2 linked regions of the Stegostoma tigrinum genome follow. The protein of the gene in region 2 binds, or shares a complex with, the protein of the main gene of each other region. Links are inferred from orthologs where the notes say so. Each region holds a gene or a part of one and is shown on either strand. Other genes may lie near its edges.

Region 1 (7,958 bases), about 26 Mb from region 2:
GGGGGGGAAGAGGGGGTCGGGGGGGGAAGAGGGGGTCGGGGGGGGAAGAGGGGGTCGGGGGGGGAAGAGGGGGTCGGGGGGGGAAGAGGGGGTCGGGGGGGGAAGAGGGGGTCGGGGGGGGAAGAGGGGGTCGGGGGGGGAAGAGGGGGTCGGGGGGGGAAGAGGGGGTCGGGGGGGGAAGAGGGGGTCGGGGGGGGAAGAGGGGGTCGGGGGGGGAAGAGGGGGTCGGGGGGGGAAGAGGGGGTGGGGGGGGGAAGAGGGAGGAGGGGGGGGGAAGAGGGAGGAGGGGGGGGGAAGAGGGAGGAGGGGGGGGAAGAGGGAGGAGGGGGGGGGAAGAGGGAGGAGGGGGGGGGAGAGGGAGGAGGGGGGGGGAGAGAGGAGGGGGGGGAGAGAGGAGGGGGGGGAGAGAGGAGGGGGGGGAGAGAGGAGGGGGGGGGAGAGAGGAGGGGGGGGAGAGAGGAGGGGGGGGAGAGAGGAGGGGGGGGAGAGAGGAGGGGGGGGAGAGAGGAGGGGGGGGAGAGAGGAGGGGGGGGAGAGAGGAGGGGGGGGAGAGAGGAGGGGGGGGAGAGAGGAGGGGGGGGGAGAGAGGAGGGGGGGGGAGAGAGGAGGGGGGGGGAGAGAGGAGGGGGGGGAGAGAGGAGGGGGGGGAGAGAGGAGGGGGGGGAGAGAGGAGGGGGGGGAGAGAGGAGGGGGGGGGAGAGAGGAGGGGGGGGGAGAGAGGAGGGGGGGGGAGAGAGGAGGGGGGGGGGAGAGGAGGGGGGGGGGGAGGAGGGGGGGGGGGAGGAGAGGGGGGAGAGGATGGCGCCGGGGGGGGGGAGAGGATGGCGCCGGGGGGGGGGGAAGAGGATGGCGCCGGGGGGGGGGAAGAGGATGGCGCCGGGGGGGGGGAAGAGGATGGCGCCGGGGGGGGGGAAGAGGATGGCGCCGGGGGGGGGAAAGAGGATGGCGCCGGGGGGGGGAAAGAGGATGGCGCCGGGGGGGGGAAAGAGGATGGCGCCGGGGGGGGGAAGAGGATGGCGCCGGGGGGGGGGGGGGGGGAGGATGGCGTCGGGGGGGGAGAGGAGGAGGGGGGGAGAGGATGGCAGGGGGGGAGAGGATGGCGTCGGGGTGGGGGGGGGGAGAGGAGGGGTTCGGGAGAGGAGGGGGTCGGGGGGGACAGGATGGCGGGGGGGGGAGAGGATGGCGTCGGAGTGGGGGGGGGGGAGAGGAGGGGGTCGGGGGGGGAGAGGAGGGGGTCGGGGGGGGAGAGGAGGGGGTCGGGGGGGGAGAGGAGGGGGGGGGGACAGGATGGCAGGGGGGGAGAGGATGGCGTCGGGGTGGGGGGGGGGAGGAGGGGGTCGGGGGGGGGAGAGGAGGGGTTCGGGAGAGGAGGGGGTCGGGGGGGACAGGATGGCAGGGGGGGAGAGGATGGCGTCGGGGTGGGGGGGGGAGGAGGGGGTCGGGGGGGGAGAGGAGGGGGTCGGGGGGGGAGAGGAGGGGGTCGGGGGGGGAGAGGAGGGGGTCGGGGGGGGAGAGGAGGGGGTCGGGGGGGGAGAGGAGGGGGAGAGGAGGGGGGAGAGGAGGGGGTCGGGGGGGGAGAGGAGGGGGAGAGGAGGGGGAGAGGAGGGGGAGAGGAGGGGGTCGGGGGGGGGAGAGGAGGGGGTCGGGGGGGGGAGAGGAGGGGGTCGGGGGGGGGAGAGGAGGGGGTCGGGGGGGGGGAGAGGAGGGGGTCGGGGGGGGGAGAGGAGGGGGTCGGGGGGGGGGAGAGGAGGGGGTCGGGGGGGGGGAGAGGAGGGGGTCGGGGGGGGGAGAGGAGGGGGTCGGGGGGGGGGAGAGGAGGGGGTCGGGGGGGGGGAGAGGAGGGGGTCGGGGGGGGGAGAGGAGGGGGTCGGGGGGGGGGAGAGGAGGGGGTCGGGGGGGGGGAGAGGAGGGGGTCGGGGGGGGGAGAGAAGAGGATGGCGTCGGGGGGGGAGAGGATGGGGTCGGGGTCGGGGGGAGAGGATGGGGTCGGGGGGAGAGGATGGGGTCGGGGGGAGAGGATGGGGTCGGGGGGAGAGGATGGGGTTGCGGGGGGAAAGCGGCGGGGGGGTCGGAGGAGGAAGGGGTCGGGGTGGGGGGGGGAGGAGGAAGGGGTCGGGGTGGGGGGGGGAGGAGGAAGGGGTCGGGGTGGGGGGGGGGAGGAGGAAGGGGTCGGGGTGGGGGGGGGGGAGGAGGAAGGGGTCGGGAGGAAGGGGTCGGGAGGAAGGGGTCGGGAGGAAGGGGTCGGGGTGGGGGGGAGGAAGGGGTCGGGGTGGGGGGGAGGAGGAGGGGGTCGGGGTGGGGGGGGGGTGGGGAGAGGCGTGGAGTGTCGGGAGGATTAGAGTGGAGGGGGCCGGGGGTTGGTGAGGGAGGGGAGGAGCGGGGAAGAGAAGGCGGACGGGACGGGATGGGATGGGACGGGACGGGACGGGGGGGGGGGGTGGTGGTGTGAGAGGGCAGTCAGACAGGACGGGGGCGTGAAGTGGCAGACAGGACGAGGGGGAGGGGAACGGGGCGGGGGGAATGTCAGGCAGGCGGGGGGGGGGGTGCGGAGGAGGGGAAAGCGTCGGGGCGAGGTTGGAGAATATCGGAAATGGTGGAGCATTCGGACAGCGGGGAGGGGGAAAAGAGAAGAGAATGTGACGGGTCTATGTCGGACGGGGGCTGGGGGTGTGGATTCGGACCACACGGCGGGGCTGGGAAGAAAGGTGACGGGTCTATATTGGACATGGTGAGGGTATTCCGACCCGGGGGCGGGGTGGGGATGAACGGGAGCTAAGGGGTTGCTCTGCTGGTAGTGCCCGATGCCCCGGGGGCAGAAGCGCGCGCCTGATTTAACGGTTCCCGCCGCCATGCCAGCTGCCGGCCCTATTCCCTGACCCTCCGGCCTCCTCCTGAAACCCGTCAAGCGGGAGGGAGCAGGGCCGCAAGGATCTCCGCGCCCACCTACCTGCCACAGGCAGAGACCCTCTTTCAGGAGGTGGTGGAGGAGGAGGGGCGGCGGCACCACGCGATGGAAGTCACCTTCTCTCCGCCCCGCGGAACGGGCGTGAGGGGAGTGGACACCAATCGGTCGGTTACTCGGCCAGCCGCCCCACCTCACACAATACAGTCTCTCACTCCTTCGGCCGCCAGCCTACCACCCGCCCGTCACGTGACGTCCGGCAAACCCCGCCCCTTAGCCACCATCGATTGGCCCCCACCTGGCCCCGCCTACTGTCCGCTACTCATCCTTGCGATTGGTCCCGCCGGCTGTCTGTCTCGTGGCGAGGGCGGGGTCCCTTGTTGAGGCGGTGACTGTGGCAGTGAGTTGGAGTGCCGAGGGAGTGTATCAATGAGCAGTAAAGTTAAAAAGCGAAAGCAAGAAGGAGAGGCAGACCCAGTCTAACTTTTGTGGAGTATTCATCATCAGGATTTGTCATTGACAAAGACATCAAAGGAGAAATGGGGAAACAGGCTCGAAGGGCTGAATGGCCTCCCCCGCTCCTATTTTCCATATTGTTCTATGGTCCTACCGAGATTCTCCTTCAAGGGGTAATGCTTTGCACCCACTCGAACAATAAAATCTTAGAAACCCTACAGTGCAGAAAAAGGCCATTCAGCCCATCAAGTCTGCACCAACCCTCCGAAAAGCATCTCACCCAAACCTGGCCCCTCCCCTATAATCCTTAATTTACAATAGCTAACCCACCTTGCCTGCACATCCCTGGGCACTACAGACAACTTAGCATGGTCAATCCACCTAACTTGCACATTTTTGGACTGTGGGAGGAAACTGAAGCATGCTACAGAAACCCATGCAGACACAGTAAGAACGTACAAACTCCACATAGACAGTTGCTCAAAACCTGAGTCTCTGGTACTGGAGACAGCAGTGCCAACTACTGAGCAACTGCGCCATTGCTTTAAGTCTCCTTAGAATCATGTATGTTTCAATAAAGTTGCTATACATTCTTCTAAGTACAGGAGTAGAGCTGCTGTCATCGTTCCACGTAACCAAAGTCCCTCATCCCTGTTGCCATCACAATAAATCAGCACCACATTGTCATGATCCTTTTTATTAATTTGTGGTTTTTGGAAATTACTGAAATGGTCAGCATTTATTACTCAACTCTAATTCTGAGGAAGGGCCACTTTACCCGAAACGTTATCTCTAAATTCTGAGGAAGGGTCACTCAATCCAAATGATTAACTCTGATTTCGCTCCACAGATGCTGCTGAACCTGCTGAGCTTTTCCAGCAATTTCTATTTTTGTCCCAAAATTACACTTTGACATCCTTATTAGAGGATTGTCTGCAGAATTAGATGCAATACACTAGCTTGAACTACTTGTTGACACTTGTAAAAGAACATCCATTCATAGGAAATTTTGTCTGCCACACTAATGGCAGCACATTTTTAATGAATCCTGAGGAGCGTTACTGAAGGAGTGCTGCCCTGTTTGAGGGAGTGCTGCAGTATCGAAAGAATCCTTCTGCAATTGACCTTGATCCAAATGGCTCACTAGGCTGAATGGCCTTTTTCTGCACTATAGGGTTTCTAAGATTTTATTGTTCGAGTGGGTGCAAAGCATTACCCCTTGAAGGAGAATCTCGGTAGGACCACAGAGCAATATGGAAAATAGGAGCAGGAGGAGGCCATTTAGCCCGTCGAGCCTGTTTCCCCATTTCTCCTTTGATGTCTTTGTCAATGACAAATCCTGATGATGAATACTCCACAGAAGTTAGACTGGGTCTGCCTCTCCTTCTTGCTTTTGCCTTTTAACTTAACAGAACTTAAGAGTCAACCACTGATTCAACAGACACCAATCTATTCTATCTAAAAGATGTACTGTGACAACTCAGCAAGGCTTCTTAGACAGCATTTTCTAAATACCTCAATCTCTGTGATCAAGAAGGACAAGGACACCAGATACATGAGAACACCACTTCCTGGAAATTTACTTTCAAGCCCCATACAATCCTGACTTGAAAATATAACGGAGATAATGGAAACTGCAGTTGCTGGAGAATCTGAGATAGCAAAGTGTAGAGCTGGATGAACACAGCAGGCCTAGCGGCATCTAAGGAGCACAAAAGCTGACGTTTCGGGCCTAGACCCCTCATCAGAAAAGGCCTTTTCTGATGAAGGGTCTAGGCCCGAAACGTCAGCTTTTGTGCTCCTAAGATGCTGCTTGGCCTGCTATGTTCACCCACTTCCACACTTCTGTTACCTTGAAAATATATCAGTTAAGTCTTCACTGGTTTTTCCCATTTATGACATGTTGTAACTCTAACATTCCCTCTTTGAACATTTCCACATCTCTGCCTTTCCCTCCTTCTTTGAGATGGTCGTTATAATCTGCTTCTCTGACCTAACTTTTGACCGTCTGCACTAATGTCTCTTTACATAGCTCTGTGTTCAATTCCTATAAAAAGACTTGGGTTAAAATTGAGCCTAATATCCCCCTGTCAACAATTTGCCAACTATTAGAATGATCTTTCACCATTTTCTCATGTTGTTGAATCTTTTCATGCAAAATGTGAAGTTTGAGATTGTTTGAAATTTGGCATTTTTCTGTTCATCCTGATAAATTCAAGAGGAATACCTTTGGCAGTATGTGCTTCTTCTCAGCAACTTTCATTTTATTATTCAGTAATGGAATCTGGATGTGCTGGCTGCACTAGCATTTATTGCCCATCCCTAGTTGCCCATAGGAAAGTGGTGATGAATAATCTTCTTGAACTGCTGCAGTCCCTTCGCTATAGGTAGACCCACAATACTTAATATATTCTCTTCTATACCTCTCAGGGCAAAAGTTACACTTTTCCAAAACAGTGAGAAATGGAAGCAGAGGAAGGCTGTTTGACTCTTCAAGCCTTTTCGTCCATCCAATAAGATATGCCTGATCTTTTCCCTCAATTTACCTTCTGCTCTCAACCCAAATCCCCGAATTTCCTGAGTACTCAAAAATCTTAATGGTCTCAGTCTTGAATATTATCAAAGACTGAGTATTTAAAACCTTTCAATGTTGCTGAACATGTTGGTGAAACTGTTCGCTTTGTACTCATCAGGTCAAATGCAAGAATGCCAGGTTTCAAACCGTTATAATGATTTATATCATGGAGAAAAGGCTCTGATTGGTCAGCTAATTTACTCCATTTCACTAATGCATTGCTGTAAAGAAAGCAATGCAGGACTAACGGCTCTCCAAGCTAGTGTGCCGTGATTACTTGAAATTTGTCAGTCTTGTATCTATCCTAATGTGTGTAAAATGAAAAACCTGGACAACATCTCTCTCTTTTCAGCAATATTCAAGTTCTGAAGTACCAAGTGACTAATAAAAATATTACTTAAATGCAAGCTGTTGTCACACCACTGTGATTTAAGTCAGTGATCACATTATCTTTCTTTTACGTCCTAATCAGCACTCTGAAAAATGATACACTGTTTGATTCAGAGCATTTGCATTTGAATCACTGCTCATAGGCAGCAGAGTATGAGCAGTATATTTACCAGTCCTTTTGGCTGCGATTATAAGGCCTCCCCTATGTCAGAACTCTCATCATTCCCAGAAATATGGTCATGCACTCTTCTGCTTACTTTAAATTTAAGTGTGGAGTACAGTGAGTTCTAAAAGGATTAGCTATGGAATTTTGGATGGTTTGAGTGAACCATGAGGATATGTCCCCACAACATGAGCCTGAGACTCTAGTACTACTAGCATGGTGACATACCATTGCATCACCATCTACCAGTTATAAACCAGCATTCAGTTTATTAGCACAGGTACGGCATTTGAAAACCCTTCTGCTGTTAACTTACCCATTATAGGCCTCAGGAAATCCCTAACATCGGTTGTGAACAAAATACTGGTGAAGTGTTGTCATTCTCCTACATTATAATGGAGACTGCGCCCTTCATATAATGTTACGTTCCTTGACATTCTTCTCACAGTGTTAACTGTGCAGCTGAGTTTTTGTGCTGGTTAAAATTGAACATAATATCTCTGTCAACAATTTACCAACTATGCAAATGATCTTTCACCATTTTCTCATGTTGTCAAATCTTTTCCTCTTGCATTCATCTGAATAAATGTAAAAATGTGAAATTTGAGATGGTTTGAAATTTGACTTTCTTGTGTTTGCCCGGTTTCTTTTTTCAGGAAATTTTTTTTATTCATTTATGCAATTTGAACATTGTTGGCAGTGCCAGGACTTATTGCCCATCCCTAGTTGGGAAAGTGATGGTGAACTGTCTTCTTGATTGCTATAGTCCATTTGCTGTAGGTAGACCCTTAATGCCAATAGGGAGGGCAAGTCAAGATTTTGACAGGTCTCCGAAAAATGTAATTATATTCTCTTCTATATCTCTCAATGCACACACAACAACTTTTCCAAAGAGAGAGAGAAAAATAGAAGCAGATGGAAGACATTTGACTCTTCAAGCCTATTCTTCCATCCAACGAAGATTATGGCTGATCTTTTCCCTCAACTTACCTTCTGCTCTCTCTCCAAATCCCTTAACTCACTGAGTACACAAAAATCTATTAATCTCAGTCTTGAATATTAACAAAGATTGAGTACTCACAGCTCTTTTGAGTAGACAATTCCAAACTCTTGCAGCTCCTTATGCGAAGAAGCCTTTCTTTAAAACAATACAACCTTGGTCTCTTCTAGCAACTCCTTGTTATGAAATTTCAATGGCTCAAGTTTCCTTCCCCTAATGGGAATGAAGCAGAACATTGCATGAGGCTTATTTTTCAACACAGCATGATCATTCACCTTGTCATGAACCTTACCTGATTTACTTAATTTCCAAATAAAATTGACTCACCATGGATAGGGCTTCAAAGAAGATGAAAGTTATGTGCAACCTTGACCCTCTTAAACATTTTGCAACATTCAAGTGTGTTGACCCGACATTGCAGCCTACAATGCAGACTGTGACTTGAACTGACTGCTTTTTGCGTGCATTGCCA
Region 2 (8,052 bases):
TCCGATCTCACGTGCTTGTAAAAAGAGGAAGTTCATTAAGATGCTGAGTTGGGTTGGATTTCTAATACATTCTTAGATCAAGACAAAATGTAATTAAAAGCAGAGTGTGTTAGCAGTTGCAAGTTACTAAACCTGAGAGATGCAGAGGATTGATTGATTAGTATTTTCAGTAATAATAAAAAAGTAACATTACACAAGGCTTTGTCCAAAGACCAGGAATGGAGAATTTAAGTAACTCATACGGGTGGTTCTGATGAGTATGATGAGAATAAACAGTATGAAAATATTGTATAATTTGGTGAAAATGGGTCAGGTCATGACTAGCTCATTTCATTGTTGCACTGAATCAGTTAACAGTCGCACCTTAACAGCACATGGGGTTGACTGACAAAACAGTTACTTGCAAACTTTTGACTAGATAAAGTGAAAAAATTAAATTTATTGCTTCACTAAAAACTTTTGTCAATCTTATCTTTCCTTTTTCCACTTGAAGACTTACTTAATGATGGTACATCACCCAGGGCCATGTTTGTGCAATTCCATTAGCAGTTTTATACCAAACCTCATGGAAGGACTATTTTTTAAAAAAAAGTGTGACAATATTATTGTCCCCACAGATAGTCCATTATTTAGGATCAGGGGAGAGGATCTGATAGTTCAAAGGGTAGGGGTCAATTCAGGTAATCTTATGTCTAGTGAAGCATTGACCAGAACAGTCAGATAACTGAAGAAAGGCCACAACGACGGGAGGAACAAGGCACTCTTACAGGTAAATATTAACATTGATTTTTCAAGGAGAGGGCTGTGTGTTTGGCATAAGAAAGCACAGAATTTAAATAAAGAAATATCATTCAAATTTATACAGCATTTCAAGAGGCAAGTTTTGGAGGAAACGATTGTGAAGAATGGAAATCATTAAAACATTATCAATATTTGGAGTCACATTACCACTCCCTGCAACACCCCACCAGTCTGTATCTACTTTTCAGAAAAGACCCATTTATTCCTACTGTTTTCAATAGGCTAACCGGTCTTCTATCCACCTCAATATGCTTCGCTAAACCCATGAGCTTTAAATTTTATATGTTAATTTCATGAGACTTTGTCAAAAGTCTACTGAAAAAAAACAATCAAAATAAGTCAAATCCACTAGCTCTCCTGATCAGCACTACTGGTTTCATTCTTCAGGATTCCAGCGGATCTGTCAACCCTGATTTTCCTTTTGCAAGTCCGTGTTATTTCTGGATCTACCGCTGTTCTTTAAGTGCTATGCTATAAAATCTGAGATAACAAACTCTAGCATTTCTCTCCCCCCTTACCCCTAACTACTGACATTAGACCCACAAGTCTATAAATCCCTCTCCACAGCTCTTTTTCAAGATTAGACTCCCAAGTCTAAAGAATCACAGATGATTGACCACTAAAGCATTCATTATTTCTGCAGCCACTTCAAATACTTGTGTAGATTTTCAAGTCCTAGTGATTTATCAGCCTTTAATCCTATCAATTAGTCCAACAATATTTCTCTACCAGTACAGACTTTCTTCATTTCCTCCCTCTCACTAAACCCTAATCTACAAAGCCAGGTTGAGGTTTGTTGCCAGAAGTTTTGAGAAACATGTCTGCTGCCACTAAATGTGTGTTTGGAGATAAAATTGCATATAATTGGATTAGATTGCTGGTTTCTCCCTCTCTCTCCTTTAGCGATCTGCATTTCCCTTGCTATGACTGCACATAATTTGAAGAATTGGAAACAGGGGATTTAAGTTACAGCAGATAATAGATGCAAAGTGCCATGGGTATTTTAGATCGGTTGGGGGGGGGGGGGGGGGGGGTGGAAAATGCTGCTTGATTGTGTATGATTACACAAGTGGAAAAGTGAAAAGAGTGTCGCTTTGCCCTAATAAGGGGAGATGATCAGGAAGGAGTCAGATTGACACAATCTCTTAGCACAATGAAATTGAAATGCTAATGCTTACGCAGGGACCCCACAAATGATACATCTTTTAAAATCCACCTATAAGGTTCAAATCTTCATTATTCAACTGTGAAGACACTCCGCTGATGAGTACTTTGATTCTACTACTTGCAGGAAGTGACAGACCCATCAAGGCCATGGCTTCTTACAGATGTGAAAGTCAAGTTGTTGCAGCCGTACAACCGTAGGGCTGTGCTCTCATTGAAGAGGGGGAAGAGATGACTTGTAGTCATTTAACCAGAGTATTACCACACCTCAGGCAGGGGAGGGGTTGAGAAGGAGACTCATGGTAATAGCAGCTGGTGCAACAATTCAACTCACACTGCTTGCATCACATATCAGTCAACTGAGCTAATGGAGCTTGAAATGGTATTTTTTTAATGAGACACTTCAAAATAAGTTTGCTACAATGGGAGTAAAGAAGATAGTATATCCATCGAATATTGTGCATAGTCGTTCCTTGAGATAATGCAAACTTGAGTTGGGAAAAAGTTAGAGATTGACTTGCTGACTGAAAACAAATCTGAAGGAAAGGAAATATCAAATTGAAATGACTAAATGCAAGGTCTTGACTATCAGATTTACTAAATGAAATGCATTTACAATGAAATATTGTTACTATTTCTAAAGACAAAGCATGCTGATTAAAGAACCCATTGTCAAATAAATTGTTAAATCAAAGACAATCCCATTCATGACAATAATACTTTGATGTTATTGCATGTAACAAATACTTTAAGGAAGCATACTTATCTGCAAATACTTGTTTTTTTGCTACAGAGCCTGTCTATCCTTGGCAGAAGCACAAAAAAAAATGGAGAGGACAGACTTTTTAAATAAACATAACAGCATGAGAGCACAACAGAAGCAGAAAGAGTAGAAACCCAACCAATGAAGGGCACTTAGGAACATGGGAGAGCAGAGGACCCAAAAAAGCAACAGGAACAAAAGAGAGCAACAGAAAAACAGGAGAGACACTAAAGTTCTTCTTTGACAATGACACCAGAGGTTGCGTTAAGATTTTTTGTAACAAAGTTTGTTGCAGAGTTATGGATCTTATAAAAAAAAACTTTCCTTCCAGTTGTTTTGTTTAAAAATTCTAATGTACACTTGTAAAAGTAAAACACCTAAAGGCAGCAATTTGTAATTGGACATGGAGTGGTGACAGTGTTATGGCATGTTCATTCACATTTACCAACACAGTAAACCGTAAAACAATTCTAAACCTTACATTCTTGAGGTCTTGAAACCTGTTCAAAAGTTTTATTCAAGATAACAAAGTGTGAAGCTGGATGAACACAGCAGGCCAAGCAGCATCTCAGGAACACAAAAGCTGACGTTTCAGGTGTAGACCCTTCATCAGAGGGGAATGGGGAGGGGGGCTCTGGAATAAATAGGGAGAGAGGGGAAGGCGGACCGAAGATGGAGAGAAAAGAAGATAGGTGGAGAAGAGAGTATAGGTGGGGAGGTAGGGAGGGGATAGGTCAGTCCAGGGAAGACAGACAAGTCAAGGAGGCGGGATGAGGTTATTAGGCAGGAGATGGAGGTGCGGCTTGAGCTGGGAGGAAGGGATGGGTGAGAGGAAGAACAGGTTAGGGAGGCAGGGACAGATTGGGCTGGTTTTAGGATGCAGTTGGGGGAGGGAAACGAGCTGGGCTGGTTTTGGGATGCAGTGGGGGAAGGGGAGATTTTGAAGCTAGTGAAATCCACATTGATACCATTGGACTGCAGGGTTCCCAAGTGGAATATGAGTTGCTGTTCCTGCAACCTTCAGGTGGCATCATTGTGGCACTGCAGGAGGCCCACGATGGGCATGTCGTTGGAGGAATGAGAGGGGAAGTTAAAATGGTTCGCGACTAGGAGGTGCAGTTTTTTATTGCGAACCAAGCAGAAGTGTTCTGCAAAGCGGTTCCCAAGCCTCCACTTAGTTTCCCCAGTGTAGAGGAAGCCATACCGGGTACAGTATGGTTTGCACTTTTAATTCCCACTTTAAAGAACTATTAACATAGGAATGGCATATTTTATAAATTTTAAGGATCACCCCTTTCCAAAATTCTGAATCTCTAGAACGTTTACTCTGGAACACTTCCAACAGTAACCTAAAGACAAAGCATTTGCTCTGTGTTAAAGATATAGAAGATATCTCACTCACCACCCCAACTTTTGAATATTCCTTTAGCAATTAAGTACTTGAAGAGAAACTGTTGCTTTAGGCCAGGGACAGGTGCCCATAAAAATGGGAACTTTACAAGTCCGTAAATTTAATGAACACAAATATCCATTTGTTTGCTAAATGTTGGCCTTTATTCCAACTTGAAATGGTCAGTTTTGAGAACTATCTAAACTGCTCAAATAATTGGCAGTGCTCTTCAAAATGCGAATAATTCGTCATCCTTACTGTCTGGGGATAAAATGCTCACATGGATTCTAAAGTGAACTCGCTGTTTATAGAAGTGAAAAGAAAGGCGATTACTCCGAATTAGCGCACAGGTGTCAAAGCACCTGATGGAGTCTTCATACCACCAACCTGCCCAAAACAGACAATTGGAGTGTGCCGACCACAGCGAAGACACAGTTCACTCCGTGCTTCAGACATTTCAGTATAAACGAAGACGTATATAACTAAACACGAGACTACTCAAAACCGCCAAATCATCCAAACGCAATATTACGACGCAAGGTCTGTCGGGAAAATAAATCACGCGAACCAATCCTAATCTGCTCTCTGTCCCGTCCAATCAGAAACGTAGGAGGTGTTCACAGCGCGAAGGCTGCCGGGTGGAAGGACTGGGTTGTACGAAGGATAACAATTCCGCAGAGACTGCTGGGAAGGAGGTCGATTTCCTCTACTTGCATTTTTCCCCCTTCACGCCCTCCACCCCCACCAACCAGGTGGCTCGCAAGGCAGGCTGGGAAACGAAGCCCTGCGTGTGTGTATTGGTGGGGGTGCACAGAAATTGACGTGGTGTTCGTAGGAGGGTTCGTGTCAGTGGAAATCTCTGTAAAACTGGTATTTAGAGAAAGAGGTACCGGTGGTACAAATAAGGTCCGAAGTATCTAGATCAAACACCATCTAAACATCTGATGGGGATTGCGTTAGTGACAGGTGAGTACGTGCCAAGGAGAAGTAGCAGCGCGCGACGTTCTCAACTGTCAACGAGGAGGAAAAGGCAGTGGAATAAGGTGGCGTTTTGGTGTCGGTGTCTCTACCACAGTCAGAGGAGGGAGGGGGTTCAAGGCTTTGCCATGCAATGAGGGGAGGAGTGGACAGACAGAAATACAAGTTGTGGCCCGGCGCGGACACAACCTGTATGGCATTCCGTTGGCAGCACAAGAGACATTTCATCAATTAGAATGATCAAGGACCCACGCAGCCTTTTCTTTTTCTAAGAAGTGCCAGTATGTTTCGCTCTAGGTTTATTCATATCATTGTTCATGCGCGGAGAGTCTCATTCTCATCATAAAGTGTGTTATCAGCTCTCAGATAAACAGATACAAGGGATAGAAAGTATGGAAATTGGATAGTGAGTTTTCAGTTGATATCAAGCCACAGAGTGAAGATTGAGTGATTTGGGCGAACTACATATACTGCAGATTTGTTGGTTTTTATTGTTTAAATTGTACCTTGGATTCTTGTGTAAAATTGCACTTAGTGGTTTTCTCAATGTGTATAATTTTTAATTTTCTGATAATTAGTTAATGTTTAGATAATGGTATTAGGAATCAGATGTTTGTAAGATGACATTGGAATGATTACTGGGCATTGTTCTGCACTCATAGGAATTGGATCTTGTAAAATGACTTCAATTTACAAGTAGTAATTAGTGAGGTTCATTTGCTGGAATAGTTCTAAATTAGTTAATTAGAACTGTGAAATTTTGGTTTTTTTTGGATTCAGAGACAAACTATTCAGTATATGTAAAATTATTCAGGTTGGATGTGCTAACAATTTTAGCCTTTTGTTCCCTCCTGTTGCTTGAAGATCTTTAACCCACGTGTTGCAAAGGGAGTCTAAAGGGTCAGTATGCCTGCTTGTCCCCTCCCCCCCACTGCATCCCAAAACCAGCCCAGCCTGTCGCTGCTTCCCTAACCTGTTCTTCCTCTCACCCATCCCTTCCTCCCACCTCAAGCCGCACCTCCATTTCCTACCTACCACCTCATCCTGCCTCCTCGACCTGTCCGTCTTCCCTGGACTGACCTATCCCCTCCCTACATCCTCACCTAATATCGCCTCTCTACCTATCTTCTTTTCTCTCCATCTTCAGCCTACCTTCCCCTCTCTCCCTATTTATTCTAGTTCCCTCTCCCCATCCCCCTCTCTGCTGAAGGGTCTAGGCCCGAAACGTCAGCTTTTGTGCTCCTGAGATGCTGCTTGGCCTGCTGTGTTCATCCAGCTCAACACTTTGTTATCATGGATTCTCCAGCATCTGCAGTTCCCATTATTCCTGGAATTCTGTTTCTTTTAAACAACATTTCCGATTATCTATGTCATGCTTGATAAATTTAAAAACAACCTTAGGTGTTGCAAAGACACTAAAATTGGCGTATTAGAACCTGCTGAATTCTTAAGAAATTGGTTAGGAACTAAATGATAAACATCAAAGGAACAGAAATTTGTACCTTTGTTTTCGTTAAAGTTGTATCTCCGTTTTCTTCTGGCCAGTACACTCATCTCCACAGTCAAAGACATTCACTATTTGCTAGAGAGTAATGCAACAGATATCTGTTGCTCTCTGAACACTTTTCAAGTCACTGTTAAAGGTCTGTGAATTTTAACTCTGTTGTGAAGGAATGTTTGACGATAGGGAATCGCAGCTGAGCCGCTTCTAGTCCTACCTGACACTAGTCTATTTCCAGCAGCAGTTGCTGCATAGAAAACTAGAAAATCTATCCTATTTTTCACTGCCCAATGGAGGGCTTCTGGGACCAATAGTCATGATTTCATTACTTTGATAATGTAAATGAACATGTGAGTCTAAAACCGTTTTTGATTTTGTATAGCTCATCTATTATCTGAATGTAAATGGAAACCATTAGGACATCTAAGTTTGTAATTCAGCAAAAGTTTTAAAGGAACTTGAGTAATCTTATGTTTTTAATATTAATCTTCTTGACATTTTATAACCTAATAAAACTGCATGTAACAACAACAATTCAGCAAAGAAAAATGCATAGTATGATCATGATATAGAATTTCAAAGCTGAGGAGAAAGAAGGTAAACATACCAAACAGAAAATTAAGTTATCCACAAGTATTTTTTTCCCTCCTCTTCCTCCAGCTATATGTATTGTGGTAGAATGATTACCCCAACACCATTTCATTCACATGGAAAACACTGGTGAAACCTGTGGAATTCAATAAATGACAAGTGTATATTATCATATTTTTATATTTATTGCTGCTAAACCCATAAGCTTATAAAAGGATTTTGCAATTTATAATTTAAAAAGTTGACTGTAGAGCTCTTGCAGGAGTAGCATTAAATGTGAAGAAATAGTGAATGTCTAGTTTGGCAGTTTGTTCAGGACTATATTTGTTGATTGCTGTAATATTCGTCCTTAGTAATGTTATATTTGAGCAAATAGAAGCTAGTTCTAATTGATTATTTCAAATATGTATTAACCTGGAGTTTTCCTTGCACTTGAGAATGAACAGATGCTGAGCAGAAAGACAAGCAGCAGTTTTGCACAGTGTAGCCAAAAGTATGGTCGTGAAATAGTATGAGGAGAAATTTGAAATTGGGGAGAAATTTCAGACGAGCAGTGTAATGGTTGAGAGTGGAATATAATGTCAGCTAGTGGAGTGAAAGATATCTGTAGTTACATATCTGGCAGACTAAAATTATGCAGGTTAACACCTTTTTGGAGGATTCAAAGTGAGAATGAGTGTATTCATGTAGATTTGCTATGGTAATGAAGCTCAGGAAGGTCATGAGACAGTCGATTTTTGTGTCATTGAAGATGCAAAATGTCATTTTAAACTAGTTGGAATTTGACAGGTTCTATAGTTAATCCAGATTGTGTAGAGTAATGAGCTTCAAGGTGAAGAAACCATCAATTAATACCTTTGCAAG

What was found.
Region 1: ELKS/Rab6-interacting/CAST family member 1-like (region 2) and ppfibp1b share a complex: the UniProt entries of both Homo sapiens proteins name them as parts of the cortical microtubule stabilization complex. The link is inferred for Stegostoma tigrinum from reciprocal best matches to the Homo sapiens genes ERC1 and PPFIBP1.

What each region holds. Positions count from the first base shown.
Region 1 is NC_081371.1:46,972,683-46,980,640, reverse strand, and holds the start of ppfibp1b (liprin-beta-1b), read right to left. Parts: upstream 3,147-7,958; 5' UTR 2,948-3,146; intron 1-2,947. UniProt on the Homo sapiens protein: May regulate the disassembly of focal adhesions. Did not bind receptor-like tyrosine phosphatases type 2A.
Region 2 is NC_081371.1:20,749,798-20,757,849, forward strand, and holds the start of ELKS/Rab6-interacting/CAST family member 1-like, read left to right. Parts: upstream 1-4,880; 5' UTR 4,881-5,084; intron 5,085-8,052. Other genes in the region: DNA repair protein RAD52 homolog, read right to left, coding at 4,506-4,574. UniProt on the Homo sapiens protein: Regulatory subunit of the IKK complex. Probably recruits IkappaBalpha/NFKBIA to the complex. May be involved in the organization of the cytomatrix at the nerve terminals active zone (CAZ) which regulates neurotransmitter release.